7 linked regions of the Oryzias latipes genome follow. The protein of the gene in region 5 binds, or shares a complex with, the protein of the main gene of each other region. Links are inferred from orthologs where the notes say so. Each region holds a gene or a part of one and is shown on either strand. Other genes may lie near its edges.

The links.
Region 1: med13l (region 5) and mediator of RNA polymerase II transcription subunit 26 share a complex: the UniProt entries of both Homo sapiens proteins name them as parts of the mediator complex. The link is inferred for Oryzias latipes from reciprocal best matches to the Homo sapiens genes MED13L and MED26.
Region 2: med13l (region 5) and med31 share a complex: the UniProt entries of both Homo sapiens proteins name them as parts of the mediator complex. The link is inferred for Oryzias latipes from reciprocal best matches to the Homo sapiens genes MED13L and MED31.
Region 3: med13l (region 5) and med4 share a complex: the UniProt entries of both Homo sapiens proteins name them as parts of the mediator complex. The link is inferred for Oryzias latipes from reciprocal best matches to the Homo sapiens genes MED13L and MED4.
Region 4: med13l (region 5) and med24 share a complex: the UniProt entries of both Homo sapiens proteins name them as parts of the mediator complex. The link is inferred for Oryzias latipes from reciprocal best matches to the Homo sapiens genes MED13L and MED24.
Region 6: med13l (region 5) and med23 share a complex: the UniProt entries of both Homo sapiens proteins name them as parts of the mediator complex. The link is inferred for Oryzias latipes from reciprocal best matches to the Homo sapiens genes MED13L and MED23.
Region 7: med13l (region 5) and med8 share a complex: the UniProt entries of both Homo sapiens proteins name them as parts of the mediator complex. The link is inferred for Oryzias latipes from reciprocal best matches to the Homo sapiens genes MED13L and MED8.

What each region holds. Positions count from the first base shown.
Region 1 is NC_019875.2:6,560,887-6,563,049, reverse strand, and holds part of mediator of RNA polymerase II transcription subunit 26, read right to left. Parts: intron 1,709-2,163; coding exon 1,634-1,708; intron 1,550-1,633; coding exon 1-1,549. UniProt on the Homo sapiens protein: Component of the Mediator complex, a coactivator involved in the regulated transcription of nearly all RNA polymerase II-dependent genes.
Region 2 is NC_019872.2:23,702,500-23,706,779, forward strand, and holds the start of med31 (mediator of RNA polymerase II transcription subunit 31), read left to right. Parts: upstream 1-1,480; 5' UTR 1,481-1,663; coding exon 1,664-1,673; intron 1,674-3,288; coding exon 3,289-3,363; intron 3,364-4,280. UniProt on the Homo sapiens protein: Component of the Mediator complex, a coactivator involved in the regulated transcription of nearly all RNA polymerase II-dependent genes.
Region 3 is NC_019879.2:14,006,626-14,010,612, reverse strand, and holds the start of med4 (mediator of RNA polymerase II transcription subunit 4), read left to right. Parts: upstream 1-1,187; 5' UTR 1,188-1,227; coding exon 1,228-1,301; intron 1,302-1,551; coding exon 1,552-1,618; intron 1,619-2,059; coding exon 2,060-2,230; intron 2,231-3,237; coding exon 3,238-3,295; intron 3,296-3,987. UniProt on the Homo sapiens protein: Component of the Mediator complex, a coactivator involved in the regulated transcription of nearly all RNA polymerase II-dependent genes.
Region 4 is NC_019877.2:9,579,827-9,584,095, forward strand, and holds the start of med24 (mediator of RNA polymerase II transcription subunit 24), read left to right. Parts: upstream 1-1,469; 5' UTR 1,470-1,589; intron 1,590-1,595; exon of another isoform or gene 1,596-1,715; intron 1,716-1,853; 5' UTR 1,854-1,854; coding exon 1,855-1,984; intron 1,985-2,069; coding exon 2,070-2,152; intron 2,153-2,279; coding exon 2,280-2,318; intron 2,319-2,401; coding exon 2,402-2,475; intron 2,476-2,794; coding exon 2,795-3,018; intron 3,019-3,160; coding exon 3,161-3,272; intron 3,273-3,367; coding exon 3,368-3,518; intron 3,519-4,269. UniProt on the Homo sapiens protein: Component of the Mediator complex, a coactivator involved in the regulated transcription of nearly all RNA polymerase II-dependent genes.
Region 5 is NC_019870.2:12,442,803-12,446,917, forward strand, and holds the start of med13l (mediator of RNA polymerase II transcription subunit 13-like), read left to right. Parts: upstream 1-1,315; 5' UTR 1,316-2,522; coding exon 2,523-2,594; intron 2,595-4,115. UniProt on the Homo sapiens protein: Component of the Mediator complex, a coactivator involved in the regulated transcription of nearly all RNA polymerase II-dependent genes.
Region 6 is NC_019882.2:15,915,325-15,918,824, forward strand, and holds part of med23 (mediator of RNA polymerase II transcription subunit 23), read right to left. Parts: intron 3,065-3,500; coding exon 2,952-3,064; intron 2,874-2,951; coding exon 2,778-2,873; intron 2,252-2,777; coding exon 2,234-2,251; intron 1-2,233. UniProt on the Homo sapiens protein: Required for transcriptional activation subsequent to the assembly of the pre-initiation complex. Component of the Mediator complex, a coactivator involved in the regulated transcription of nearly all RNA polymerase II-dependent genes.
Region 7 is NC_019862.2:24,740,789-24,745,068, forward strand, and holds med8 (mediator of RNA polymerase II transcription subunit 8), read left to right. Parts: upstream 1-1,480; 5' UTR 1,481-1,573; coding exon 1,574-1,579; intron 1,580-1,711; coding exon 1,712-1,833; intron 1,834-2,861; coding exon 2,862-3,006; intron 3,007-3,089; coding exon 3,090-3,230; intron 3,231-3,308; coding exon 3,309-3,396; intron 3,397-3,467; coding exon 3,468-3,707; intron 3,708-3,783; coding exon 3,784-3,854; 3' UTR 3,855-4,028; downstream 4,029-4,280. UniProt on the Homo sapiens protein: Component of the Mediator complex, a coactivator involved in the regulated transcription of nearly all RNA polymerase II-dependent genes.

The sequences.
Region 1 (2,163 bases), on a different chromosome or scaffold from region 5:
ACCAGGTGCCATTGGTGTCATAACAACCATTTACTCCTGGCCACTGTTGTGTGTGGATCCTCTCCAAGTCCTTGTCCGTCAACTGCCGACTCATGCCTGGTAAATCCCCCTTTGAGCTGTCTGTCTGCAAAACGTGCATTTTCTTGGACTCTTTGGTCTCCTGTTCTTCCCTTTTGAGATATTCTGACATAAAAAAGTGTGCACTGGGGGTCTGAACCCCTGAAGAGGTGAGCAAATTGCTCTGAAGGTTCAAGTAAGACTGAATGATTTCGTTTCTAGACAGCTCTTTCCAGTTAGTCTGGAGGAAAGGGTTAGGGCAAGGACTTGTTGTTGTGGCAGCCGACTGCTGGACAGAACTTTCTGTTCTCTGCCTAAACTCTGCTGGATCAGGAGTAGAGGACACCTCTACTGGAGAAGGATCTTTATGCACCAGAGGTTTGATCTGACCTGTGACTGGGTCAAACGTTAGTCTGCGTTCTTTTAACCGTACTCTCTTAGTTGTGTCTTCCACTTTCTGCCCATCCAGGTTAATAGAGAAGTCTCTGGACTTGTACTTCCTCCTTTTATGCTCAGAGTTGGCTGCTGTCATTCTATCAGTATCATCAGACACCACAAAGCCCGCTTCCAATCTTGATCTCTGGGATTCTGTATTCTGTTGACAGAGGAGAGGGGAGGCTGATGGTGAATCCAGAGTTCCAGATACATCCTGGGGTTCATACAAACTGGTTGTGTGTGACAAAGGCTTATGAGATAAATGGGGCAGCTTCTCAGCAAAAGATGGTTGACCCGGAGAAGCCAAAGCCTGGGAAAAGGATAAGGGAGAGTCTCTGGAAGAAGGACTTGGGATTGGCGTTCCTTTCAGTCCATATGGTACGGAGCGCTTTGGTAAGGAGTCATGCTTCTGGCTCCGCGGACTGGAAGTGACACTGCGAGGACTCTTGCCTTGATTGTAGCTCCCTCCTTCTTCCTCCAGCCTGGCATGTTGCTGGATTACTGCAACTTTAACCAAAGAGGAAGTGCTGGGTAGTTTTTCCACCCCAGGGGAGTTGGGACAAGGCCTGACAGAATTGACTGAAGTTCTGTTCACTCTGTCGTCATCAAGGTGATCTACTCGGCATTTACCAGGAGACACTGTGACATCTTGTTCAAACTGGGTTCTTGGGCTGCCAGCAATCCCATTGGTGGGTAGTGGGGAGACAGAATTATCATATGTAGACGTCTTTGAGAGGTTTTCTGTTAAGTGCAGTCTGCTGTGCTCTACCTTGCGCTTGCTTGATTTTTCAGCTTTAGGTGAATACGTGTTCTGAACATAATTTCTCATCCTAACATCAGCAAATCCTTTCCCCAACACAGAAATCTCTGGAGGAGAGGGGTCGGTTCGGCACAGATGAGAACTGCCATTTGTCGACCCAGTGACACTGGGTGCCACAACTGGCCCAGGTTCAATCAGTTTTTGCCAGTTTTTCAACAGTTTCTTTGCGCGCTTTGCAAGATCTTCATCCTTGGTCTTCTTTCTAATATCATTGATCAGTTTTCCAAGTCGCGTTTCCTGTAAAATATGTGAGAAAATCAGAGAAGAAAGTCAGTATTTTCCTTTCAGTATGGAGTATCTGTTTAGGAATGCACGCTTTACCTCAAGTGCTTCTTTGGTGATAGGATATTTCTCCAGACAGTTAATTACTTCCAACACAATCACCATGTTGCAAATCTGCAAAAAACAGACAGTTGTTTCATGAGTTCAAAGACAATGCTGGCATCCACACTGTTGAACAACATTCAATAAAGATTGACACCAAATGCAGATATAACAAATTGGTATGCTTCTCTTGGGATTCATTACCTCACATTTATACAGTGTGTTCCAAATTATTATGCAATTGTTTTGTATTTAAGAGTCAAAAAGATGAATTTTTCAAATCAAACTCATGGATTATGGTGTGGATCACTGACATCCATCTCAGACACCTGTGATAACCAGGTGAGTTCAGTCAAATTGTCTAAATCAGGGTCGTGGGCAGGATCCGGCTTGCCTTCAATCCGGCCTCTCCATGGAGACCCACATAAGAGACATCTTAATCCACCACTCTGCAGTCTGTGCTCCGACCTGAACCCCTCTAAGAATCCCTGTCAAACAGAAGACAGTCTTCCCTTTCTACATTGGAG
Region 2 (4,280 bases), on a different chromosome or scaffold from region 5:
TTTAACATTCAGTAAATGAAGTTTGGGTCAGAGTCTCTCTGTGTTACCTAAGAGAAACGTGGAGAAGCAGGTTTTTTAGACGTCTTGTGTTGCAGTGGTTTGAATCTGAAAACGGCAGATCTATTGAGGTTTTTGCTGATCTCTACAAAGGTTTTTAGTTTTTATATAAACCAATATAAGTAACAAAGGTGTGCCTGTTTGTGTGTGTGTGTGTGTGTGTGTGTGTGTGTTTGTGTATGCACGTATGTGTGTGTTGTGTACATATGTATCTTCCTGTTTTTTACAAACCTGTTGCTAACTCCTTTTACTTGTTGATAATAAAACTTTATCACTCAAACATGTAAAGAGTGTTATTTTATGGTCCACATTCAAATCCTTTAGGTCAGGGGTGCTCATTATGTCGATCACGAAGGATGGAACTGTAGATTGCAGGTCATCAAAAATAAGAAATAAATATCAAAATATATTTTTTAAAAATCTGTCAGTGAATCATCATCCTCGGCAGGAAAGATGTCACTTGATTGACATGCAGAACAGCCAATTGAACGTCCTCTGAAGCATACGTCACTGTGTTTAACTACAGCGAGTGCACTTTCTTATTTCTTTCTTCCTGCTGCACACAAATACATCAAACTCAAGGCCCCAACTGACAGTGTGTTCAGTGAATGTCTCAGGCAACGGAGAGGGATGCAGTGCTAGAGGACAAATCCTCATGGGAGGACAAACCGGACCATAACTGAAGCTGCTGATATCAAGAAGTGCTACCAATGGCTAGAAAGGGCTGGCCTACAGGACAGCACTGAAGCACTCATCCTGGCAGCCCAGGAACAAACCCTGAACACCAGAGCAATGGAGGCTCAGATCTACCACACCAGACAAGACCCAAGGTGTAGGCTGTGCAAAGAGGCGCCTGAAACAATCCAGCACATAACTGCAGGGTGTAAGATGCTGGCAGGAAAAGCACAGCCTAGTAAGATTGTGGAGCGCCACAATCACACATGGGCCACAATCATACATACATACATGGAGCGCCACAATCATTCATACAGCAATCATACGGCCAGATGCTGAACTACAAGATCAGAAATCCTATGAATCAAGTGTGAAACATTTTGATTACCTAAAGTTTTTGCATATTCTCATATTTTTCAGTGTTCAGAGAAAAACATTAACATCAGACTGGATGAAAAATAACAAAACATTTTCCGTTTACTGCTTTTTGATCATTTAATTTCTGTGTTTTTCCAATAAATAACAAAGACTCAAATAAACATGGACGTTTTTTATTCACTGTTCAAATTATTTCTGTTTCATGATGACATTTAATGTTTATTTCTTCAGACTTCAAACACTATATAACCAAAAGTATGATTAACAAGTATTTTTTATTTGTGTTGGGTATTTTCTGTCTCAGTTTTTGTTGTCCGTGTGCTGAACAACAAAGTTTTGTTGCAAAAGAAAAAAAGCCGTAAAGTAGATAGCAGGTGTCGCAAAGTCGGAAGTGGTTTTGCCCGAGTAGTTCACTTACGGCTGATGAAAGCTAAACAAAAGCAGCTGGACTGAAGATTTGTTAAACATTTAAACACATATAAGGATTTTCTGCTCTTTCTGGAAGCCCTGCTCAGTTTGTGGACAGTAAATAGTTACTGTTCGGGTCGATACCATGGAAACAGGTTTGTAGCTAAACCTATTTTTGTTAGCTTTGGTTCTTCTAAGTCTAACTATATGGGAGGATGATGAATGTCTTCATTATTCTTGTGTTTTTATTTGACATTTGAGAAACTGTGTATTTCTAACTTTTGTAAAAGACTTAAAGCTGTGTTGATGCTTTTATTAACCTGAGTTCGTGCGTACAACAAGCCGAAAATTTTTCGTAAATAATAAATTAATAATGTCGGCGATTAACGCGGGGATTTTTTCGCTGTAGTCCGTAAAATAAGTAATATGACATTTATGAGAAAGTTTAAAAAGATAGAATATGAAGCTCGTCCATCTTGACACATTTTTCATAAAGAAGCCAAAGTAAACCCCGACATACTAGTACAGGTCGCTTGAGCAGGAATAAGTAAGATCTTCAGACTGCATATAATTCATAATTTCAAAAACGTTGGGCTAATTTTAGCAAACTGCTAACTCTCTTTAACCAATAAATAAACCAAAGACCGACATAAGGACAACACACTAGTTCACGTGGGTTTAATAAAGCTCTATCAGGTTTGAATAACTTTGTAAATGTGAGATTTTATCAGACATACTACCTTAACTACCCCATTAACTCAATGATTCACCGGGGACAGTGGTCTCCAGCTCCATATCGGTACCACTCTTCCTTTTTTCTGTTAATCAGGTGTTTATGAAGGTTTTATTTTGAAAAACGACGTCCACTGCTCCACATCTGTCTGTGACGCTTGATGTTTGCCTCAGTCAGGCATTTTACCCACCTTCAGCTGCTAACGCACATTACTACAACGCTAAATAAAAACCCTCATTCTATTGAATATTACACAAACAAGCGTCAGGCCCTCTTAAAGGTTTCTCTGGGCAGAAAGCACCGTCAGTGAGGAAAAGGAAGAGATAGACACAACCGGGACACAGGGGTCAACGAATCAGTCACTGGGGGGTTTGGTTGGCCATCAAAGGACTCCAGCGAGGAGGATGTAAATCTCTAGCTCAGCACCAGTTGGACAGAACTGAAGAAACTGCTCGGGTGAGAGGCGAAACGTCTTCAAACCAGAAACTTTGTCCAGTTGAATACTTTTGGAACTTTTCATTTTATCATGACCTGAATGACTGAGATTCCACCCCAACATGGAACCAGGAGTTCTACTCAAAACATAGATTTCTGGTGACAGTTGTTCCCGCACTCACTGTGCGGTGACTGACCCTCTAAGGTTTTCAGGACACTGCTAGTAAAATTGTGTACTGGTTGAACTCACATTTACTTTAGTCAGACGTTTTTGTCGGTCGCATCTTTTTGTTTGGTTGTATTTAGTAGCCGAACCTCAGAGGCTCGTTTGTGAAAATGTAGTCTGACAATAAACCAGTTCTTGCGTCGCGCTTATATAGTTTCTAACTTATCACCCAGTCCACTGGTCTAACACAGGAAATGTGTTTGGGGAAATAAAACTCATTTACAGTGTTAGCATAACACACGAATCATGGAAATATCAGAGCAGCAAAAAAATAATAATAATAATAACTGCAGCAGGTCGTCAGGCCCAAACTGCTTATTGTTTCAGAATTCGCAGTGTTTTTTACTTTTGTGTGATGCTGTCTTTTCTGGTCCAGATGAGCAGGCCCGGCACCGCTTCCAGGCCGAGCTGGAGTTTGTGCAGTGTTTGGCAAATCCGTACTACCTGAACTGTAAGTCTCTTCATCTTTTCTTTAACATTTGTTCTTTAACTTCCCTGAAAAGTGAAGCCAGAAACTACATTCCTTAACTGGAAGTTCGTTTGGTTGGAGGCTTGAAATCCTTCAATAATCTGAAGCCCTGCAAGGCCTCAACACGAATATTCCATGAAAACCTGTTTTTATGACTGCCCAATGAAAAGAAGGAACAAAAAGCTCTGAAAAGCCAAAAATATTACTCCAATTTTCATGTTTTTCCATATTATGTATCACATTAAAGATCAGATTCACCTATTTTACTCATTTAGTTTTTTTTTTTTTTTTTTCCTGACCTTTCTTCATTAAAGACAGAAATGTGTTTGTTTAAACTGATAAATATCCTCACTTCTGTATGTTGCTCAGTGTTGGGGTAATGGATTACAAAGTAACAAATTACTGTAATTTAATTACTTTTGTCAGTAACGGTAGAACATAACAAATTACAGCTCATATTCTGTAATGAATTACAGTTACTGGACTATAGAAACCCTTGTTACTTTGTTACTTAGATTTTGCAGGCTTTGACTTTTTCTCTGTTAATTGAAATGAAACAGAGACTAATTATAAAAAAAGACGGAATTACTGGCACATAGCAGCATGGGGGATCGGTCAAAGTACAGACATCCCCTCATTGCTGCAGTCGCTTTGCTTTCCAAACTGGCTCAAAGATGAAAAAGACAAAAAGAGATCCTGCAAGGAGTCTTGTTATCCCTGAGGAGCAGCAGGTGAGCAGCAGAGCAGAGACTCGTGTACTGATGTGTCAGTAGCAAGTGAAACAACCTTAAAGTCGGCTCTTTGGTGTGAAAGACACGACCCGGATCCTTCCTGGGAGTTGTTTTTTTTTTTAAAGTATTAATTCAGCCTTTCTTACTTTATTGTTAACTGTAAGCTAC
Region 3 (3,987 bases), on a different chromosome or scaffold from region 5:
GTGACTTCTTTCTGAATCACCTTATTTTCAGACCAGCCTTGTCTTTGTGAACATTAGGTTTCAAATGAGAAACAACTACACAGATATGCTGACCTGAAGATTATTCACAACCACAAAAACAGAAGTATTTTTTTAAAAAACGTTTTAAATTAAAAAAAAAAAACAGTAATGAAGCCTCTAAAATTTTTAAAAGCTTTCACTTGGATATTTTGGGGGAAATGTTCATTCTTGAAGACAAACATATATGGTTCAAATTCCTATGAAGTCAGTATGCAGTTTTCAGATGCAATGGCAAAAATGCATTTCATTTCCATCTTTGAATCCCTCTTATTTTGACAATCAGGAAGTGGCCTGGTTGCAAAAAAGCTTCACTATTATCTCACTGTTGGCAGCCTCAACAAAACAAACTTGCTTTGGATGTGTGTGTTCATGCTGAGTCAAAGTCAGAGAAACTTAGACTACCAAATAGTTCCTTAGCACAGCTATAGTGCACTGCTACCCAGGGGATGGGTCAATGCACACAAATAATGAGATTTTATCCTGAATTTAACATTAACACTTTGACCCATAACAAAATAATAATAAAATAAATAAAAAATCAGGAAGTCAGAGTAATCTTAGTATTAATAAACATTGTTGCAATATGTTGCCTAGTTTTGTCTTTGCTTTTTGTATTGTATCAGAACAACTTTTATCATGGAAAATACATTCTTAAAAAAATGTATGCAAAGAGATAAATAGGCAAATAAACGTACTACATATTTAGTTCAAGAGAAAAAGTTGCTTTTAAATCGTTTACGTAAATTACTAATTACTAAAATATTGTAATAATTCCTTTTTTTTACCCTGTAGACATTTTACATCCTTTATGCACTAAAATAACTGCAGCTTGTCCAGTATTTTTAAAATAGTAATCATTGTTTAGATCATTTTGCAAAAACTTTAGAACACAGACTGAAATAACTTTTGCAAAATTTGGCTGTTTTCATCAACATTTTACATCTGTTTATTTAGTAATTTAAGTAAAACAATTTACAAAAAATATTATTACTTTTCTATGAATTATTATTATCCGTGGTTCCAAAAATAATTTAAGATTTTCCTCCTTGGAATAGGCAAAACGTACTTTTTAGCATGATATTCCTTTTGCCACCACTAGGTGACAGTAACTTACAATTTGAGGTAAAGTCTTTATTACGTCATATCCTTTCTGCTTTAGAAACAGGTATGGCGGCGGCAGCAGAGAAGTCAACAAAAGAGCGGCTACTTTCTGTGTTGGATGATTTGGAGGTGTTATCGCGGTAAAGGAAACAGCTCATATTTTGTTTTCCGTGTTGTAGTTAGGTAGCGACACAGTAGGCGGGTTTACGGCTTGGTCTGCACAGTCCTGATTCGAGTCCAGAAGTCCAGTGGAGAGTAAAGGCTCATGAGGCTTAGTTCACGCTTTGAAATTAAAGCCCCCCCCCCGGGGGGGCTTTAAATGGCCTCCGTTGTGCCGCGTACTCCACAGCTCCTCGTGCTGAATCCTCCATGTCTGCTCTTCTGTTTCAGGGAGCTGATCGAGATGCTGGCTCTGGCCAGAAACCAGAAAGTTCCTCAGCCAGGAGAGGACACACAGGTGAAGGACACAACTTTTTTATTCTAGTTCAACACTCCAAAAGAGCCACTCCAAAGAAAATTGTGTTTTTAAAATGTTCTTGTGGCATTTTAAAGATGGTAAAAGACATTTACAAAAAAAAGTATGCTTAAATTGTATTTCTGATTATTTCTTTAGTTAAATAGTTGTCATCAGGAGCAGATCATCTAAAAACATGAAAACAACAGGCTTGGCCTCAGCCATCAGGGCGGCCTCTCTCTTGATATTCCAGCATTTATTTGGATATGGCCATGTTTAAAAAAAATGAAGAAAAAAAACATTTCATGTTTTGGGTTTGAGCTGTGCAGCACTGTCACCTCTAGCCATTTGAAATGATGCTGGTCTCCATGGAAGCAAAGGCCACAGTCGACGTCTGATCAGTGCTGCTTCTTGTGTTTATTGGAGAGCCTGTTTTGTCTTCAGATCCTGGAGCTTCTGGTGCAGAGGGACAAGGAATTCCAAGAGCTGATGGAGGTGGCCCAGCAGCAGGGAAAGATTCATCAGGAGATGCAACTGTTGGAAAAGGAAGTGGAGAAGAGAGACAGTGACATCCAGCAGCTGCAGAAACAGCTGAAGGAGGCAGAGCACATCCTGGTGGGTTGAGGTTGTGTGTATTTTTGCTTCATCTGATACTGCTGTAAGGTGATGTAGTTACATTCACAGGTGCATTAGCAGAAATCCTCATTCTTCTAGCACATAGGCAGATTAAGCCAGTCTAATGCATTCTCCATATAGGCTGCTGTAAGCAGATCTATGGCTGTGCTGGCTTTAGCATTTGTTGAGTAAAAGTATAAAAACTCTAAAAGGCTAAATATCTTTTGCTGTAAAAAATTAACTCAATGTGTTGTAAATCTGGCAGTTTACTACAACTGTAAAAAAAAAAAAAAAAACCTGTGACAAATAATTTTTTTTGTAACATATATGTTGAGAGCTAAGTCAATTAAATAATATAGTTCAAAGTAATCTAAAGATTGCTTAGTCATCTGGGTCATTACAAATTTCACCACTGTCTGAAAGTGTAACAGTTTAAAGCAGTGCTTTTCAAATAGTGGGGTGCGCCCCCCCGATGCGATGCCGGGGGGGGGGGCGCGCTATAGTGGCGGTTTTAGGCACAGGTTATACAGACAATTGTCCGGTGCTCATATTTAACGTGGGGGCGGTGATGACAGCGGCTCAGTGCTTGGGGAAAAAATCTGCGCCTCTATTCGGTTCCTATTGTCTGTAAAATCACAGAGTTTGTGACAACCTGAAACCTGTGAATTCCTGTCCCTGTAGCTGCGCGCTCCCGTCTCCTGTCACACGCGGCTGCGTGTGTGAGAACGAAAGGGGAGGGGTAGTGGGCTCAGTCTGCCAGGTGAAACGGGGCACGCGGAGAACTGCAAGCCCTGTTGCCCAACACTAGGATCATCCCATGCCTTTTGAGGACTCAGCTAATGCTAATAATGTCATTCTTTATCAACTATTGTAGACATTTTGATGATGCTTCTTTTCCAGCACCTAAAACAGAAAGGTGTAGGAATGACGGGGTCACTGGATCCAGATCTAAGATCACACTTGGAAAGCAGCTTCTGTCAATCTAAACTGACTTTTTCTCCTTCAAGGCCACTGCAGTTTACCAGGCCAAGGAGAAACTTGCTTCCATTGAAAAGGCTAAGAAAGGTGAGCAAACACACTTGTCTTTCAGTCTGTGGATTTGGATGTATCATTTTGTGTCTGGTAACATCCAGATACTCAAGCAGCTGTGTGACTTCAGCGTTGACACTCAAAGATTTTAGTTTAAGGTTTTCGTTAAAGAATTCATTCCTTCTTCCATTTTAGGTAGCATCTTCATCTCTGCCAAAAAAAATAATTACTCTCTTGTGCCATCTTTTTGTATCGACTCAAGATTTGGCATAAAAAAACATTGGTTCTCATTAAATGACCTATATCATGCAAAATCAATTTTATTTTTAGCTTTTTATGTATTATATTTGTTAATTCCTCTTGAAAAACGACCCCAGAAGAGTATTTTGATCCTTTAATGCATTTCTGAGTTTTCCTCTAAAAACCTGCTCTCTGAGCACCAGCCCCTCCCAATCCCCAAAAACAGGCGGGTTTTCATATTGCAACAAAAATGAGCTGCTAAGAAAACCGGTATTTCATTTAAAAATTGATGGGGCGGCAGGTGCTTATGCAGGTGCTTAGGCAGTTTAGCAGATCGTCCAATGGTCGAAGAGTCGGCGGTTTGATCCCTGGTCCCACCACTCAACTGTCGTTGTGTCCTTGGGCAAGACACTTCACCCTCCTTGCCTCCAGTGCAGCTCCACTGCTGTGTGAATGTGTATGAATGTCCTGGTGATGGTCAGAGGGAC
Region 4 (4,269 bases), on a different chromosome or scaffold from region 5:
GACTGATACTGATCTACTCTGAGTCTTATCTAAATGGGCATCCTTGGGGGACAGGATGAGATCTTTCTCATTTCCTGGATCTCAACTCTTGGTAATCATCTTTGTGTGCCTAAAGGCTGTCGGTGAATTTGAGAGAAAAAAGAATAAGAAAAACAGAAAAGCCTAACTAGAACTCACTTTTTAGTCTTTTAGAGGAACACCAACCAAATTTGGTCTCTGTTTTCTACTTTTTCTTTTTTACTTCTATTTGAAGTTTGTTGGAATAAATTGACTAAAGCTAAGAATTTTAATATAGTCGTCTTTTGTGTGCTTTCACTTGTTCAAAAATAAACAATACTGTTAATATTAATAACATTATTTATAGTAAATGTGAAATACTTTGTATTATAAATGTTTATTATGTTGTAGTTCTGCAGCTTTAACTGAGAAAGTAACTTGAAAGTGAAACAGACGTTATGTAATGAACCACAATGATGATACAATAATATTGTAAGATGGGGGATCACTTTTGAATAACAATAACAAGTAACATAATAAAGGTTGGAAGTGAGAAAAGCCAGAATCAGCACATGTCCTAATCTCTGAAATGAAGCCGTGAGAAAAGACACAGAGCTGCAGCCACAGTCCCTCTGATCACCCCTGTGGCAGATGGAGAGCTGTCACCACGCCTCCTCAACAGAGCCCTCAGTGTAAGGTAAAGGAGAAAAGATCATTCTCTCCAGACACACCTCCACACAAACACGCAACTTCATCAGTCCTCTAACACTTGTCCACCTAATATGCACTGATCATCTCTTTCGGTCTTACATAACTCTTGTCCCAGGACACAGACCTCACTCTAGTCAGTACATCATCTCCAGTAACAAGCAGAAAGAAGCTCTTTGTTGGCCCTGACTAATACAAGATTGGTCTGATGGAGATTGATGCAGAGAAAGGGTTCATTTTATTTTTGCAAAACAAATTTTTGTGCACACAAAAAAAAACAAAAATCGAACAAAGAACAAAAGCTCAGAAGCTTTTTTTTATTTTAGATTTTTAAATTAAAAGTGCACTGTGGGTTCCATAAATGTAAATTATTACTACATCATATTGTTATTTACTTATTCCTGTCTTCTCACTGTAAACGACTGGCCCGGGACCAGAGACGCTAATTTAAAATGACAATAAAGATTCCTGATTCCTTATTATTCTAATTTAATCATTGTGTTCATTTTGAAAATATATTTTTCATTATTCTTGCTATTGGGTAGTGATTTTCCAACTTTTTAAAAAAGAAAGAAAAAAGCTGAAATAAGCTTTTTTTTTTTTACTGCAAACTACATTTTAGAGTCCCATTCAATTTCGGATCTACTTCATAAGTTCTGTGGTTAACAGCGACATCTTGTGGTAGTAGACAGATTCTGCAGTCGAAGGTTGAGGCTTAAAAGCGAAAAACATCATTATCCAATCATCGAAAAGAATACTGGTGGAGTGTCGGGAGTAGCCAATGAGCGGCGGTGTTTTTCACAACAGCAATGGGGGTATCCTGCATTGTGGAGCTGTGAAACTAAAAAACAACCACATCTTGCGCTTTAACAAAACGAGAGCAGGTAGATATGAATTAAGTCAATAATGAAACTTTGAGAGGTATGTTCTGGCCTTTTCCGGGGACGATTCTGAGTTTGTTCGCGAAACAAGAGACGTTTAGTTTTTTTCTGTTAGCTAATATTGAGAAGGTATGCTAACAGCGAATCTAACAGCTGCATTGACTTGACCCAGTGTTTATATGTTAAAACGTGTGGCAATTTTGCTATTTTTTTGACATAAGTGAGTTAGCTATTCTCTAACAGATACGTGTGTTCGCTCCTTTCCAGCATGAAGGTGGTTAATTTGAAGCAGGCTATCCTGCAGGCGTGGAAAGAAAGGTGGACAGACTACCAATGGGCTGTCAACATCAAGAAAAACTTTCCAAAGGGAGCAACATGGGACTACCTTAACCTCGCAGGTTGTTGATTGTGATAAACAACGTCGGCGTTTCATCCTATAACATGTATGCATTTAATTTTCATTATTTTCTTTGTGTTTTCCAGAAGCTTTGATGGAGCAGGCAATGATTGGTCCATCCCCTAACCCACTCATCTTATCCTACCTTAAATATGCTATAAGTTCACAGGTTGGAAAGGAACTTTTATTTTGAAAACTGAACACACACATATATATACACATAAATGTGTATATACATAAATGTGTGTATATATATATATTTTTAAATAATGACTGTTAATGTTTCACTTTTCTAGATGGTGTCCTATGCTAGTGTGCTCACAGCCATCAGCAAGGTGTGTTTGATCATAAAAAGGACAGAAGATTCGCATTTAAATGGATCTCTGCTGCATTTGTAACCAATGTGTTTTGTTTATAGTTTGACGATTTCTCGCGGGACCTCTGTGTGAAGTCATTGCTGGACATAATAGACATGTTCTGCTGTCGCCTAAGGTCTGAATACTTCTGAGTAAACACCACTATTCTCTCCTTGTGACTTTCTCTTGTACATTTTTGTTATTTTATTTATTTATTTTTTGGACAGCAAATTTGTCAGGGTTTTAAATCTTCAATCTGCCTCACTTTAACTTGGAATTTTCAACAATTTTTATTGATATGTTTTTTTTTTAATTAAATCTTAACTGATTTACTTGTGTGCCAAGCCTTGTCTTATTGTTATTTCCCCAATACTTCACTTGCATATTGTATTTTATCTTATATTTGTACTATAGCTTTAATTGTTAATACTGTACATTGTTGTCTTCTCACTCAGCTGCCATGGCAAAGCAGAGGAATGCATTGGGTTGTGTCGGGCTTTGCTTGGGGTGGTGGTCTGGCTGCTGCAGGCCTGTGCGTGGTACTGCGAGAACCTGAGAGAGCTCGGACCGGTACCCAGCATAGAGGCTATTCTCAGAACATGTCAGGAGAGGCTTCATACCCTGATGAAAAGCACCAAGAACAGAGCTCTGGTTCATATCGCCCGATTAGAAGATCAAGGTTTGGGAATAAAATATTGAAAGACAATATTGAAATATGAATGTTATGGAAGAGAATGTAGGCATTTGTGCACACAAAGGTTATGGTCTTTGTTTGCATGTTCACCATTTGTAAGGTTTGATGTGAAATTCCTCTTCCAAAGGGTCCTGGAACAATGTGGAGCAAGCAGTGATTAAAGTTACGGAAGGTCTTGGAAATGTACCAAACCAAACATTAAGGACTTCACTGGAAGAAAGTTTGTTTTTAGTAAAAAGGTGAAGGTTCCTCAGCCACTAAGCTCTTACTCAAAAGTGTTTTAAAACATTAAAAAAAGTTAATTTTTCTTGGGATGACTCTTGACTCTCCCCAGTATTCCCAGCATGCTCTCTGTGCAGTGTGAGCTTCCAGTGCGTGCCTCCTTCCCATCAGTTCATGCCTTCATCATGCTGGAGGCAACCATGAATTTAATCGGAGAGATCCAGCCTTTGGTGGAGCAGTTAATGATGATCAAGAGAATGCAGGTGAGCTTGAAATTCATGACAAAATATTTCTATAATTTCTGTGATCTTCAGCCCTAAGTCAGAAATAGTCATATTCTTTTTGCAAATATTTTGCAGGTGAATTACCGGTAGTTTGAACATTGCAATTATGACTATGTAAAATATGTTAATTTGTAAAACTGTATTAAGAATTTACACATTTTTGCTCCTTCATGTTGACATAATCAGACCCTCTGAGCCTGAAGAGAACCATTTTTTCTTAATTTACTGTGCAATTACATTAAATTACATTCATATTTAGCTTTTTTAGCTTTGCTTTATACTGAAGTTTTTTATTTGTAATGAATAATTTACCTGCAAATGAAAGTGTCATCTCTCTATCTATCTAACTATCTATCTATCTATCTATCTATCTATCTATCTATCTATCTATCTATCTATCTATCTATCTATCTATCTCTTTATCTCTCTATCTATGACATAACAGAAAGAAGGTTCATGGTTAAATCATGTACGCTGAGCAAAACAATTATGTAACAAACATATTTGGGGTAAAAGTATTTTAAGCCATTTTTCTTCTAATTTTACCTCACAGTAGCATATTGAGAAAATTTCTCTTTGCAAATTAAAATAATTTGATTACATGAAAATTTAATTTAACCGTTGTTTCACAGTAATGGAACTTGTGTACAAAATGTTAAAAAATATTTATTTGCAACAACACATATCCATGAAAGATTTGCAATAAACTTTACATTAATGACATAATAAA
Region 5 (4,115 bases):
GGTTACATACATGTGGAGTGAATGGATGCTGCACCCACAGTCAAGACTTACTGCAAAGCAAACACTTGCACAGTGTTCCAACATTCACAATGTCAATGAGAAGTATATATTTTAACGCTCTTAAAGCATATTAAGATATGTATTTGGGTCATTTTCGAATTGGAGGGCATTTTATGTCGCAACCATCACATTATGAAATGTTCTGCATACAAAATACAAAAAAAAACAAAAACAAAAAAAAAACCCTGCAGTTAATAAAAAGGACTTATACTGGAACAAAATCTACAAAAACTACAAGAAAAGAATTCCTACAATTGTTTAAAAAATACCAAATAAGCATTGAGTGCCCCTAAAAAAATGCGATTTTATTCCTTGTCCCACCCCCTCTATGTCCAAATTTAAATCTTCAACAAAACAGTTATCAAAGGAACAAGTGTCCCACAATGTACATGCAACCCTTTACCATAACCTTTTTAACATGGTAGAAGAAGAATTACTTATTTACAAGAGTAAGTTCGTCCTCTTGGTGATCAATAACAGCTAGTTAAACAACTGGCTTGCACTCCTGAGAGATAGCTAAAATAACATTTTCGACCCTGTTACCTGCAAAAACATTTGGAAAATGTTGTAAACAACAAATATATAATTTAATAAAAAAATGTACAATTGATCAGTAAGTTTAGCTATTCAAGCATTTGACAGTTTAATACTTATTGATAGATATGCAGCAGAAGATCAGAAAAGTGAAGGTTTACTTTTCAGGAATTTTGAAGCCCAAATGTCCTCCAATTCTGGAAGGACCCATATATGTATACCTTTATAATAGGCCTTTATGTAATAGTAAATAGTAATGTAATAGTATTAAAAAAAGAATCAATCGTCTTAACAAAATAAGCAGTAACAACACAGGCCTTAATTATTGGTATTTTCCATAAAAAAACAACTTCACATGTTTTTGTTTTTCTTAAAGCTGCATCAAAGAAACCTGAATTGTAAAAGCCAGATTCAGGTCACGTGATGACAAAGTTGGCCAACTGGGAAAAGCGATTCTGAGCTTCAGACCTCCATTACATCACAATGCGCGATGGTTTTGCGGCAGAAAACAAGACGCTTTGGAGCTTCGAGTAAAAACAAGCCCACTCTCTCTCTCTCTCTCTCTCTCTCTCTCTCTCTCTCTCTCTCTCTCTCTCTCTCTCTCTCTCTCTCTCTCTCTCTCTCTCTCACACACACACACACACACATGTGCGCACACGCACGCACGCACAGGGTGACACATTCGGGCTGCGCACGCCCATCTCAGTGTAATAACGCCGCTGCGAGACATAAACAATGAGGAAGGAGCAGTCGCGGTGGAGGAAATCATGCACATGTCTGAGGATTTAAATCAACAATCAATTCATTTCTCTTGAAGAAAGCGGATTCATTGGGGGGAATCGAACGCACGCCACATATTCTTTCCTGTCAATAAATTCGGCGCCAGACGAGGAGGGCCACTTTTTTTGTGTGTGCTGCTTCGAGTGTACATTTTTTTGTAGAAATAGTACTGGATGTTTTTGAGCAAGACTGAGGCTTTTGTGGCCGCGCGAGGACGTTTCGTAATGATAGAAAACTGAAAGGAAGGAAGGATTTTTTTCTCTAACCTCCGTCTACAGTCGCCTGCCGTTTTCCTGCTGTTGGAGTGTTTTACTTTTTTCTTGCCTGAGCGGTTTGACTCATGGTTCTGAGCTCGACTTTGTCCCCCCCCCCCCCTCCCCTCTCTCATTCTACAGCCTGCCCGATCGTTTGATTGAAAAGCAACAGAGGGATTAAAACCTTCGTTCGTGCTCGCAGCGCCTGTTTTGTGTGAGCCTGGCTGGGTTACATTGTGAGAGGAACGGTTGTGGCAAGAAAGAAGGCTATAAATAGCGCATGCAATTCTCGAAAACTATCACAAGTGGTGCATCAGCTTGTTGGAGCAGACGGAATCAGATATCCTGCATGTGATATCTGCGCGTTTATTATTTCTCCGCGCCGTCGATCATGCGCATGCGGTTCGTCTAAAGAACAAAGTTGATGCGTAATTTTGCATTTTTCTGTTCCTGGGCGCAGAAGACGGCACTCGATCTCTGATGGATTATGGTGATTTAATTACGAAACTATCCGCGGACAGACTGCTCTGGAAAGGGTCTGGTCTTTTGTGTGTGGATTGAAGAAATGGAGCTGCTCTCCGTCAGCGATCAGATGTGGAATCGCCCGGACCGGATTGTAATGTTGTGATCCCCGCACATGCTTGGATTTATTGCGTTCAGGCTACAAGAAAGCTCGGGCTTCATTGGATGCATTCTGCACTTCTTTCTGAATACGCCCATTCCTCCACCGACCATCCCGTACAGCCTGTTATCCGGGACCTCCTTGTGAGGGTTTAAGCCTGCTGGTTTCGGCAGACTCACAAGGGGAACCGATTCGTCACCCCCTGCTCGGTGCTAGCAACCGATGTAGGATTTCGACATGCCATGCGCTGACGACCCCAAAGGCGGACGATTATGACTGCATCGGCGAATTGGGTGGCTAACGGGGCAAGCCTTGAGGACTGCCACTCCAACATCTTCTCTCTGGTACGATAAATCCTGTTCATCACACACACACACAGGCAGGCAGGCAGTTGTGATCGACAAAGTCATAAGACCGTGGGAGGCACGCTTCAGTGTGTCTGTGCGCAAAAGTGAACCAAACGCTGATGTTATTTGACAATCATTAACAAAAGATCTCCAGTAAGGCTGTTATGATGGCACACTCCACATACCTAACCAGCAGGAACTCTTCTTATGGTATTATTTTACGCATTTATTGCCAACAATTGGAAAAACGAAGCTGTCTTTCTCAAATATATTTCTATTGAAATATTTCCTAATAATAGTTTTATGTGTGAAAAGAATTCCATGACCTCAGGAACACTGAGGAAACAAACATGTCACACAACAAAGATGGCTTTTGGCAATCAAGCATATCACTTTCATTTAATATATATGTAAAAAATGGGTTGGTTTTTTTTTTTGACTGAGTGCAGTGTCATGCTTTCTTGTGCACAACTCTGGTTTTTGAGGGCGGAGGAGAAAAGAGCAGAGTGTTTTCACAGTTTTCATCCTGTAGTCAGCGAGTTAACTGTCTTACCACAACAGGCAGTCAAGTGGAAAGGCATGCAGTGGACTGGGCTCAGGCTGCTGAGAACCACAACAACATAGGGGTCCTGGGGGCTTTTCAGGTGAGGTGCAGGTTGAGGAGCAATAACAGTCCCTATTACATTAAACAAATCACTGCAAGGGTACACAAAACATGTTACTAAAGGAGGTTTGAACGAATGATCACAAAGAGAGTGAGGAAATATTTCCTTTTTTTACAGCACTGTGTAAAAAGCAGGGAGTGTGTGGGACTTAAAGCTACCCCATTAACTTTTTAAAAGCATCTTGTGTGACTTTCTACGCATTCATGGGGAGATGCATCCCAATATAAGCAGTCTTAAATCTTCTCAGCTTGACACAATAGAAAACAACGATTGCATTTCTGTCACCGTCTCATTCGTGGCTATTCCCTTGTGGGGAAAAAAAAAGCTCTCATTCACTCACTGTGGCTTTATTGGCCATCGTGAACATCCCTTTCAAACTGAGGGTGAACGAAACCATCCATCAGCCGGCTTGTTGAGAATATTTATGACTGGCGAGTGCCTCAGCAGTTACTCACTGGCAGGGTTCCTGCAGGGGAGTCCTGGATGGGACAAAACACTAATGACACACCAAGTGTCCTGGTTAGAGGCTACAGTGACAAATGTAGGGATGGAAAAATGTATCGTTGGGTTTACAGTGAAGGAATGTGCAGGGAAAGGTTAGAGGTGCAAGTTAGGATTCTGCAACACAGCAACAGATTTTTAGCAAAGTTGCAGTTGTTGGGTATATATTTGTAAGTTGTCCATGTGTTGCATTCATCCCTTAACCCTGTTTTCACTTATTAGACTAACAAATGGGTTGCGTGTCCAGATATGGGAAATTCTAAGACTTGAATTACAGGTTTTTACGTTTATCCTGTTTAAAACTTGCAGTTTTAAATTCATCTAGCTGCACAAAGCTACTTTCTAGGGATAC
Region 6 (3,500 bases), on a different chromosome or scaffold from region 5:
AAAAAACGGTTCTAGTGAGGGAGCCGATAATCCTTTATGAACTAGGTCTGGTGTTAGATAACGGAACCAACACATTTGATCAATCTACTGACTCCAGATCTGAGTTTCCAGAGCTCCTTGACCATATACCCCATCAGTACGAGCACCGAGGAACATGGGAAAGCCCAAATCAGCTTTTTGCAGCAGAACTTTGAAAGCTACTGGCAAATGCAGGAAGTTAGAAACCTCACTATTCCTTTTTCTCTTCCAAAGATATCAGATAAACATTCATCAGATATGCAAAGCTCAAATATCCGTATTGAGACCAGAGTAAGAAGCAGATTGATTCTGCCCAACGTGGATTTTCCTCTAATCCTAAGCAGACACATTTGATTTTTGCTCCATTTCTATGTTTATTATAATAAAAGCAGTTAAAACCATCAGACTGTAACAACATTTGTTAACCAACCACGCATGAAAAGCTTGCGTAATTACATGCCGGATAACACCAAAGTGTTTGCACCACAAAAGATCTCCTGGGATGAGAGGATGGGGTTTTAGCAGCTTCACCAAAGCTGTGAGTTAAACACCACCCGTCTGTTTGACAGCCAGCAGAGACAACACAAAGATAGTCAACAAGACAGTAAACAACAACAACCCAACTTTACTTTCTCTATAACAATATTACAGGAGTTGGCACCATTGACTGTTAATGAGAATTGGACCGAGAACAAAATTAAGTCAATTCAGGCGCCTTTTTTTCACAATATGGACGCCGCAATGTTGGAACCAGATGATGAGAGTATTGGTCGGAGTCAACGTTTCTATGGCAACCTGTCTTGCCAATCAGGGGTGAGCTTGCTGGAAACCGCAACCACTAATGGCGGGTTACCTGACACCTGTCAATCTAGCGTTTCAGACGCGAGACCACCTACTTCTATTGAGGCATCTGATTGGTCAGTTTATAATTTGAATAAGCTGCACTAAAGAAACATTCCATGAAATGAAACAATAAGATTAGAAAGAACATGTTAAAAAAAAGCAAGAAAGGTTGTTCTAACAAACAGAATGACTGAGTAACAGCTGTTTATTTCTCTGTAGACGTTTCCAGGGTTTTAGCTTCCTGTTTATAACATGAGGGGGAGGAGTCAACTCTCACATACAGTCAATGGTTTGCACAAGAGGACACAGATTTATTATGACGATGGTGCAGCTGCTCATCCAAGTTTAGATCCAACTAAGTCCAATTTATCACTTTACAAAACAAAACAACTAACTTATAGATGTTCTGTTCAGTTCTGCATGCATCTTTAAAGCATCTTCTGGCTACTTAAGTTAGAATTCACTTTTCAGACGCATGACGTATGTAAGCAGGTGTGGGTTTTTTTTTTTTTTTGGGGGGGGGGGGAAGCAGCAGCAGCAGTGACAGCATCAGCAGCAGCTCTGACATGGGGAAAGCCTTCCCGACGACAAGCAAGCACCAGACTACATCCACACATGCACTGCAGCAGGACCTGAAATGTCAACAGCAGGGCTAGCAGTCAGAAATACTTCATGTCAGCTTGTAAGCAGGAACCATGAAGCCCGGAGAGCACACAGCCCAGCTGTGCCGTGATCGATCTCTATCAGCTCGGCTGGCATCAATCAGTCCCAGACTACTGGAGAATTTCTGTCCTGGTGGCTACAACACGGAAACCATTCAGGATCAGCTTTATTTATTTAAAAAAATCCCATTAACGGTGAACACATTTAACAAAATGGGGCAACAAATCTTATCCGAATGATTAACCGGGAACTCCAGTCTTTCAGACATCATTGAATGTTTTAATCAATACACTTACAGATGCTGCCACCATTCAGCAGAATTAAAGGGGTTTGGACACTAATGAGGCTGAACATATGGCAGGAAATTATTTATTTGTACAGCGTTTTAGTAATCGAACGACCTATCATGCCTAATGCTGTGGAAACTTCCCGACAGGTCATCGATCCACCTGCTGTTTCCTGCAATATACACATCAACCTAATTAAAGGCGAGTTTCCATTTAAACAGGTGAGTTATCTCTGTCGCCCTGCTGTGACCATCTCAAGCTCTGTAGCATTTCTCATTTGCTCCACGTTTTATTTGAGATGATTGTTTTTTTTTTTCAGTTTTCAACTTTTTAGCGAAGTAGCGGGGCCAGTAAGTCTCTCAGTGTCCAGTCAGCTGGTTAGTTGGCGAGTCATGTGACCGGGAGGAGGAACAACGACATACCTGGGCAATGTTCAGAGTCTAGCGAGCGCGTGGCAGAGAGACAAACACAACACAACCAACGGAGAGAAACCAAATAAGAGGAAAAAACAAAAAGAGAGAGGTGGGAAAAAGGAGAGAAAGAAAGAAAGAAAGTAGTGACTAAGCAGCCATAGTACGTTGTTTTTTTTTTATTTGTTGAGCACAGTTAGCAGCAGACCAGTCATTCTTTTCTATTAACATTTTTTTTTTATAATCGGTTTTAGTTTATTCCAAACCTTTAAGATACAACAGGGAAGCCCAACAGGGAATTCAGGTGCATTATGGGTCAAGCTCACAGCGTTGTTTAACTGTGTAACAAAGACTACAAGGGAATCCAAGTGGTGATGGGCTTAAGAGGGATAACAAAACAGACAAAAAAACTACACAAAAAAACTGAGGAAGAAAAGTTTTCATAGTCCAAAAATAAACCAAAAGGGGCTGTGAGGTCAAGAAGAAAAAAGGTGGTATAAAACATAGAAAAGTGCCAGAGGAAGCATATAAGGAAGGTTTTCATTCTGTTTTTTACCTGTTTGTTGAGTCCTAACATGTTGCACACCATTTCCCTGGAGTACGGCTGTTCAAGCACATAGCGGAGCAAGACAGTCTGCGGCTCGAACAGGTCCTGCACCCAACGACCAAAGCAGCCATTACCGTTTGTTCCTGTGTGGGCGTGAAGCTGTGCAGATGCGGGGTGGGTTACCTTGTCATAGGGCAGCATGCCCCTGAGGGGGAAACGCAGGGTGGCGGGGTCTAACTTCCAGGAGTTACAGATGGCCCCGCTGTTATTCACAACTGGCAGCAAACTGCATCGTCCTTAAGGGGGGGGGGGGACGACGACACCAAATACAAGTCACTTAGCTTCAATTACGCTTTCAAACATTTAGTTTTACGATTCTGGGACTGATTTCAAATTCCATTAACATTAAACTTCCAATATTTACAAGGATATGTGGAAAAAGTTGAATAATTAAGAAAACAACAATTTATAAAAGAAATTTACACTAAAAAACATTTTAAAATGCCAATATAGTGTTATTTTTATTTTTTTATTAAATAAAAGTTTTCTTTTCTTGGAAAACCCTGCAGGAAACTGATTAAAAAATATATATATTTTAGTGTGAATCTGATGTTTGTCATTTAACCTTCCTAGGGACAGCAGATTACGAACATATATCATTAAAATCTGTACTATATGATGTTTCTTCCATGATTTTAACTGTTTTGTATAAATCCCAGATCTATTTCGATC
Region 7 (4,280 bases), on a different chromosome or scaffold from region 5:
ATTAACACTCCACAGTCTCTGGTAAGGTCTCACCTGAACTCTGTTCTTCGTCTGCAGAGACATTTCTCGAGCTCATCGTGTGGCTGCAAGTCTGGAGGCGGGGACCTGCTTCATCAACAATTACAACATCAGCCCAGTGGAGGTGCCATTTGGAGGGTATAAGATGTCAGGTGGGGTCTTGTAAAAAAAACAAAAAAAAACAAGAGGCTTCTTGAGGAAAAATGGTGAAACCGAGTTCTTGATCTGTGCAGGCTTTGGCAGAGAGAACGGCCAGGTGACCATCGAGTACTACTCCCAGCTGAAGACGGTGGTGGTGGAAACAGGCGATGTGGAAAACTACTTCTAGAGTTTCCGTTTTACACTCATTTCAGAGCAATAAACGAAACTGTGCAGACCTGTTGAATGTGGATGTCCTATTTGAACTTTTCTGGAGTGTCTTTTATTAACTCTTAAGTGTGTATGAACAGCTGGCATGATTCTTCAGGCTAATTTATTTTGTCACGTTGGACATTTGCTCATGCAAACATTATCTGAACTCTGATCCTGAAGTAAAAATAGCAGTTGCATATAGAGTTTACACTGCTAGAAACATTGATCCATCTTCTAAACCACCTTTATTCATGTATATAAAAAAAAAGTATGCTGGGTGTCCTAGAGCCCACCCAGCTACTGAAAGGCAAAGGTGGGATACACCCTGGGCAGTTCACCAGACCACTGCTGGGTCAAATGGTGTTAGGATTCAGTCTAAGAGACACTTTTGAGGTCTTAGGTCAGAGAGCTCTTCTCCAAGGTTGCACCAAACAATCAGGTCTCTGTTTTTATAAGGCTTGTATTTTAGTCTGATGCCTGGACCGGTGAATGTTAATAATAAAGCCGAACTAAATAGATAATGTTGATGACTCATAAACTTGAAAAGAACTGATTTTGTAATGGTTGGCCAAGATTCTGGGACATTTGGAGCTTCCACTAAAGATAACCAGAACAATATACAGCTTGTTACAGAAGACCCATGATCACACACAGAAACAAAAACACTAAACATATCATTTGTTTTTAATAAATACCAGGAAGACTAAATTGTTTCTGCTCTGAGCTTTTATCTCTGTCTCCCTGTAAGCTGCACCTTCTCTGTGCTTCCTTCACAACTGTCTGCAGGACTCATCCTCTGATTCTGCTCTCAGCTCTTCAATTTCACTTTGGTTGCTGCAATTTCTCATTTTTTTTTAGTCAACACCATCGTTGATTCTCTATTTTAAAAAAGTCAGTATAGACTGGATTAATGACTCTGACGGGACAGTTCTAGTACATTATTTTGGCCTGGAACAGAGAATTTGGACGAAAGAAAACAATATTAAAGGGTGCAAAACCCTCAGAAACAAATATTTATTGAACAATAAATAAAAAAAGAAAAGAAAAAAACAAGAGGATGGGTGGTATGGGTACCTGCTGTAGCCACAAGGGAGCACAAACACACCGTCAGATTTGACCAGAGAAGAAGAAGCATCTCTTTTTTTTGGAAAGCGCAAAGCGGAAGTACAACCTAGAAGACTTCCGGGTCGCTGACAGATCAACAATGCAAGTGAGTCTGAAATAATTTCACTCGGTTGTCTGTGATTCTTCTGACCTACTGTGGACGATACTTTGGACTGATGCTAGCTCGGGCGCTGTGTAATCTGTCCGGGCCTCTCTGCTCGTCCTTTTTGTGTTTCAGCAGCGGGAGGAGAAGCAGCTGGAGACGGCGGTGGAGTCTCTCATCTCCCGGGTGGCTCACGTTAAAAACGCCCTGAGCAGCTTCATCTACAAGCTGGAGAATGAGTACGAACGTCTGACATGGTGGGTCCTCCTGCCCTTATGACGTAACGTATCCCCCCTCCTTTGATTATGATAAATAAAAGCCTGGAAACATGCGAAGTTAACAAGTGAGTGCATATCGTGCGTGTGCATGTGTGCGCGAGCGCACTTAGACTATAAATCTTTGTTGATCCCACAAAAGGGGAAATTACCTTGTTGTTGCCATAGCTCCAATAAAACATCAGATATATATTAATAACACTAAAAATACACTTAAACAATTAACAGCAATCATTTTTGTCCAATGTCTATAAGGCATTGCAGAGTCTAATAGCTGACGGGAAGAAAGATCTGGGAAAGTGCTCCTTCCTGCAACAAGGTGTAAAGGAGCTGCTCAGTACACCCATACAAAGGATGATGATGATGATGAAGAAGAGGAGTGTCCATGATGGAGTTCAGTTTCTGTAACATTTTACTCTCACCCACCACAGTTACCGATTCTAGGAGACATCCCAGAACGTAGCCGGATCTCCGCTCCAGTTTGTTGATCCTCTTCTTGTTCCTGTTTGTGCATTCACACCTCCAGCAGCTCAAACCATAGAAGAGGGCAGACGCAACAATGCCATCATTAAAAAGAGTCCTGAAAACTCAGGAGAACCCCAGTCTCCTCAGTATCTCCTGCGATCTGGGATTGCTTCTCCAGCGGCATGTTGTTGTTGCCAAGCAACAACAGCTGACCGTGTAGACGATGTACCCACAGACCGCTTCAGACCCAGAAAGTGGGGGATAAATAGTCCAAAGGACTAGCAGGCACGCCACTGCACTTGTGTAAAAAACAACAATTCTGTCAAAAAACAGAATAATAATTAGAGAAAAAAAAAAACGAAACTAAAGAAAAACAAGCAAGCCAACACAGATCTATGGTAACTGCCAGCTTGTTGTAGCATTGGTGTCTGTATTTGCGTGCGTGTATTTGTACGTGTGCATGCGTCTTTTAGAAAGTGTTTGTGTCTCCATGTTTACCTGCAAAAGTTTTCTCACCCCCCTCTCAAATCTTTCCTGTCCCTCAGGCCATCTGTTTTGGACAACTTTGCTCTCCTCTCGGGTCAGCTGAACACCATCAACAAGCTGCTGAGGAACGAGAAGACCCCAGCTTTCCGGAGTCAGGTCATCATCCCGCTGCTCCTGTCTCCTGACCGGGATGAGGATTTAGCTGTGAGTGTCGCCGCAACATTTGCAGGCTGTCCTGTGTGGTGAAAGACCTCTAACTATCCTGTCCACCCCCACACCCCCCTCAGAAACTCACAGAGCAACGCGTCCCGGTGTTCAGTCACGAGATTGTGCCAGATCACTTGAGGACCAAGCCTGACCCCGAGGTGGAAGAGCAGGAGAAGCAGCTGAGTGCAGAGGCGGTCAGGATTGGTCCTGAGTTGGCTCAGGTCAGGAGGCGCATGGATGTTTGTTATCTGTTGTCTGTGCTCAGAAGGTGTTTAGTGTTTGTCTGTGCTAATCCACAGAAGCATATCCAGGCTCTGAACAAGCTGTGTTCCAACCTTCTGGAGAAGCTGAACAACCCTCGAGAGGACAGAGAGGGAGATGCTTCTGGTGGGTCGCTCGTTTGTGTAAATCCCTTGTTGTCCTTATTGTAGAAAGAGCTGAGTGTGTTTATCTTCCAGCAGTGCGGCAGAACAAAGCGTCCTTCAACCCCACAGACACCAGTGCCTTGGTAGCAGCTGTGGCTTTTGGGAAGGGACTCTCCAAGTGTAGACCTCCTGGCCCTGTGGCCCCTGGCCACCCAGGGCAGGGGCCCATGATGAGCGGAGGTCCAACGTTACAGCAGGTCACTATTGGTGGCGGGTCAAACCAGCAAGCAGGTATGGGAGGGCCTGGGGCCCCCCAGCAGCAAGGTCAGCCAGGTAGGAAACTGTACTGGTAAAATGTATTAAGTTTTTTGTATTGGAGACACATTTTTATTTCTTTATTTTTGTCCAGGAAAAATGCCAAGCAGCATCAAGACAAACATCAAGTCTGCATCGGGTTCCATTCACCCTTACAACCGGTGATCTCCCCCGCCCGCCTCTTTACTGCTCAGATGCAGGAACATCAGTCTGTTACTGGGTCCACCTTCACGTCCCCCTTTGAAGCTCTCTATACAGCCACTAGGTGGCAGCATGGGATCCTTTATGGCTAAATCTTAACAGCACAATGACATGTTTTCAATAAAACCCAGAAAAGCAGCTTGGTTTGTGTGGCCTTTATTATACAAGTGTCTTTCTCTTGTTTCTGCACTGAAACGACGTGAAAAAACCTGAGCTCCGCTCTTCTGAGTCTGTGTTGCAGCGCTGAGCCTGATGGGGGTGGACGTTGTGTCACAACTTTTAAGGGAGAACGCGAGGAACTATTGCTGTTGACAATGGTGGTGGTGGGGGTTTTATTCCTGTCTGAGTGTTGGCCCTCTGTCTGCTCTGATCCTGTCTGGCTGTATGACC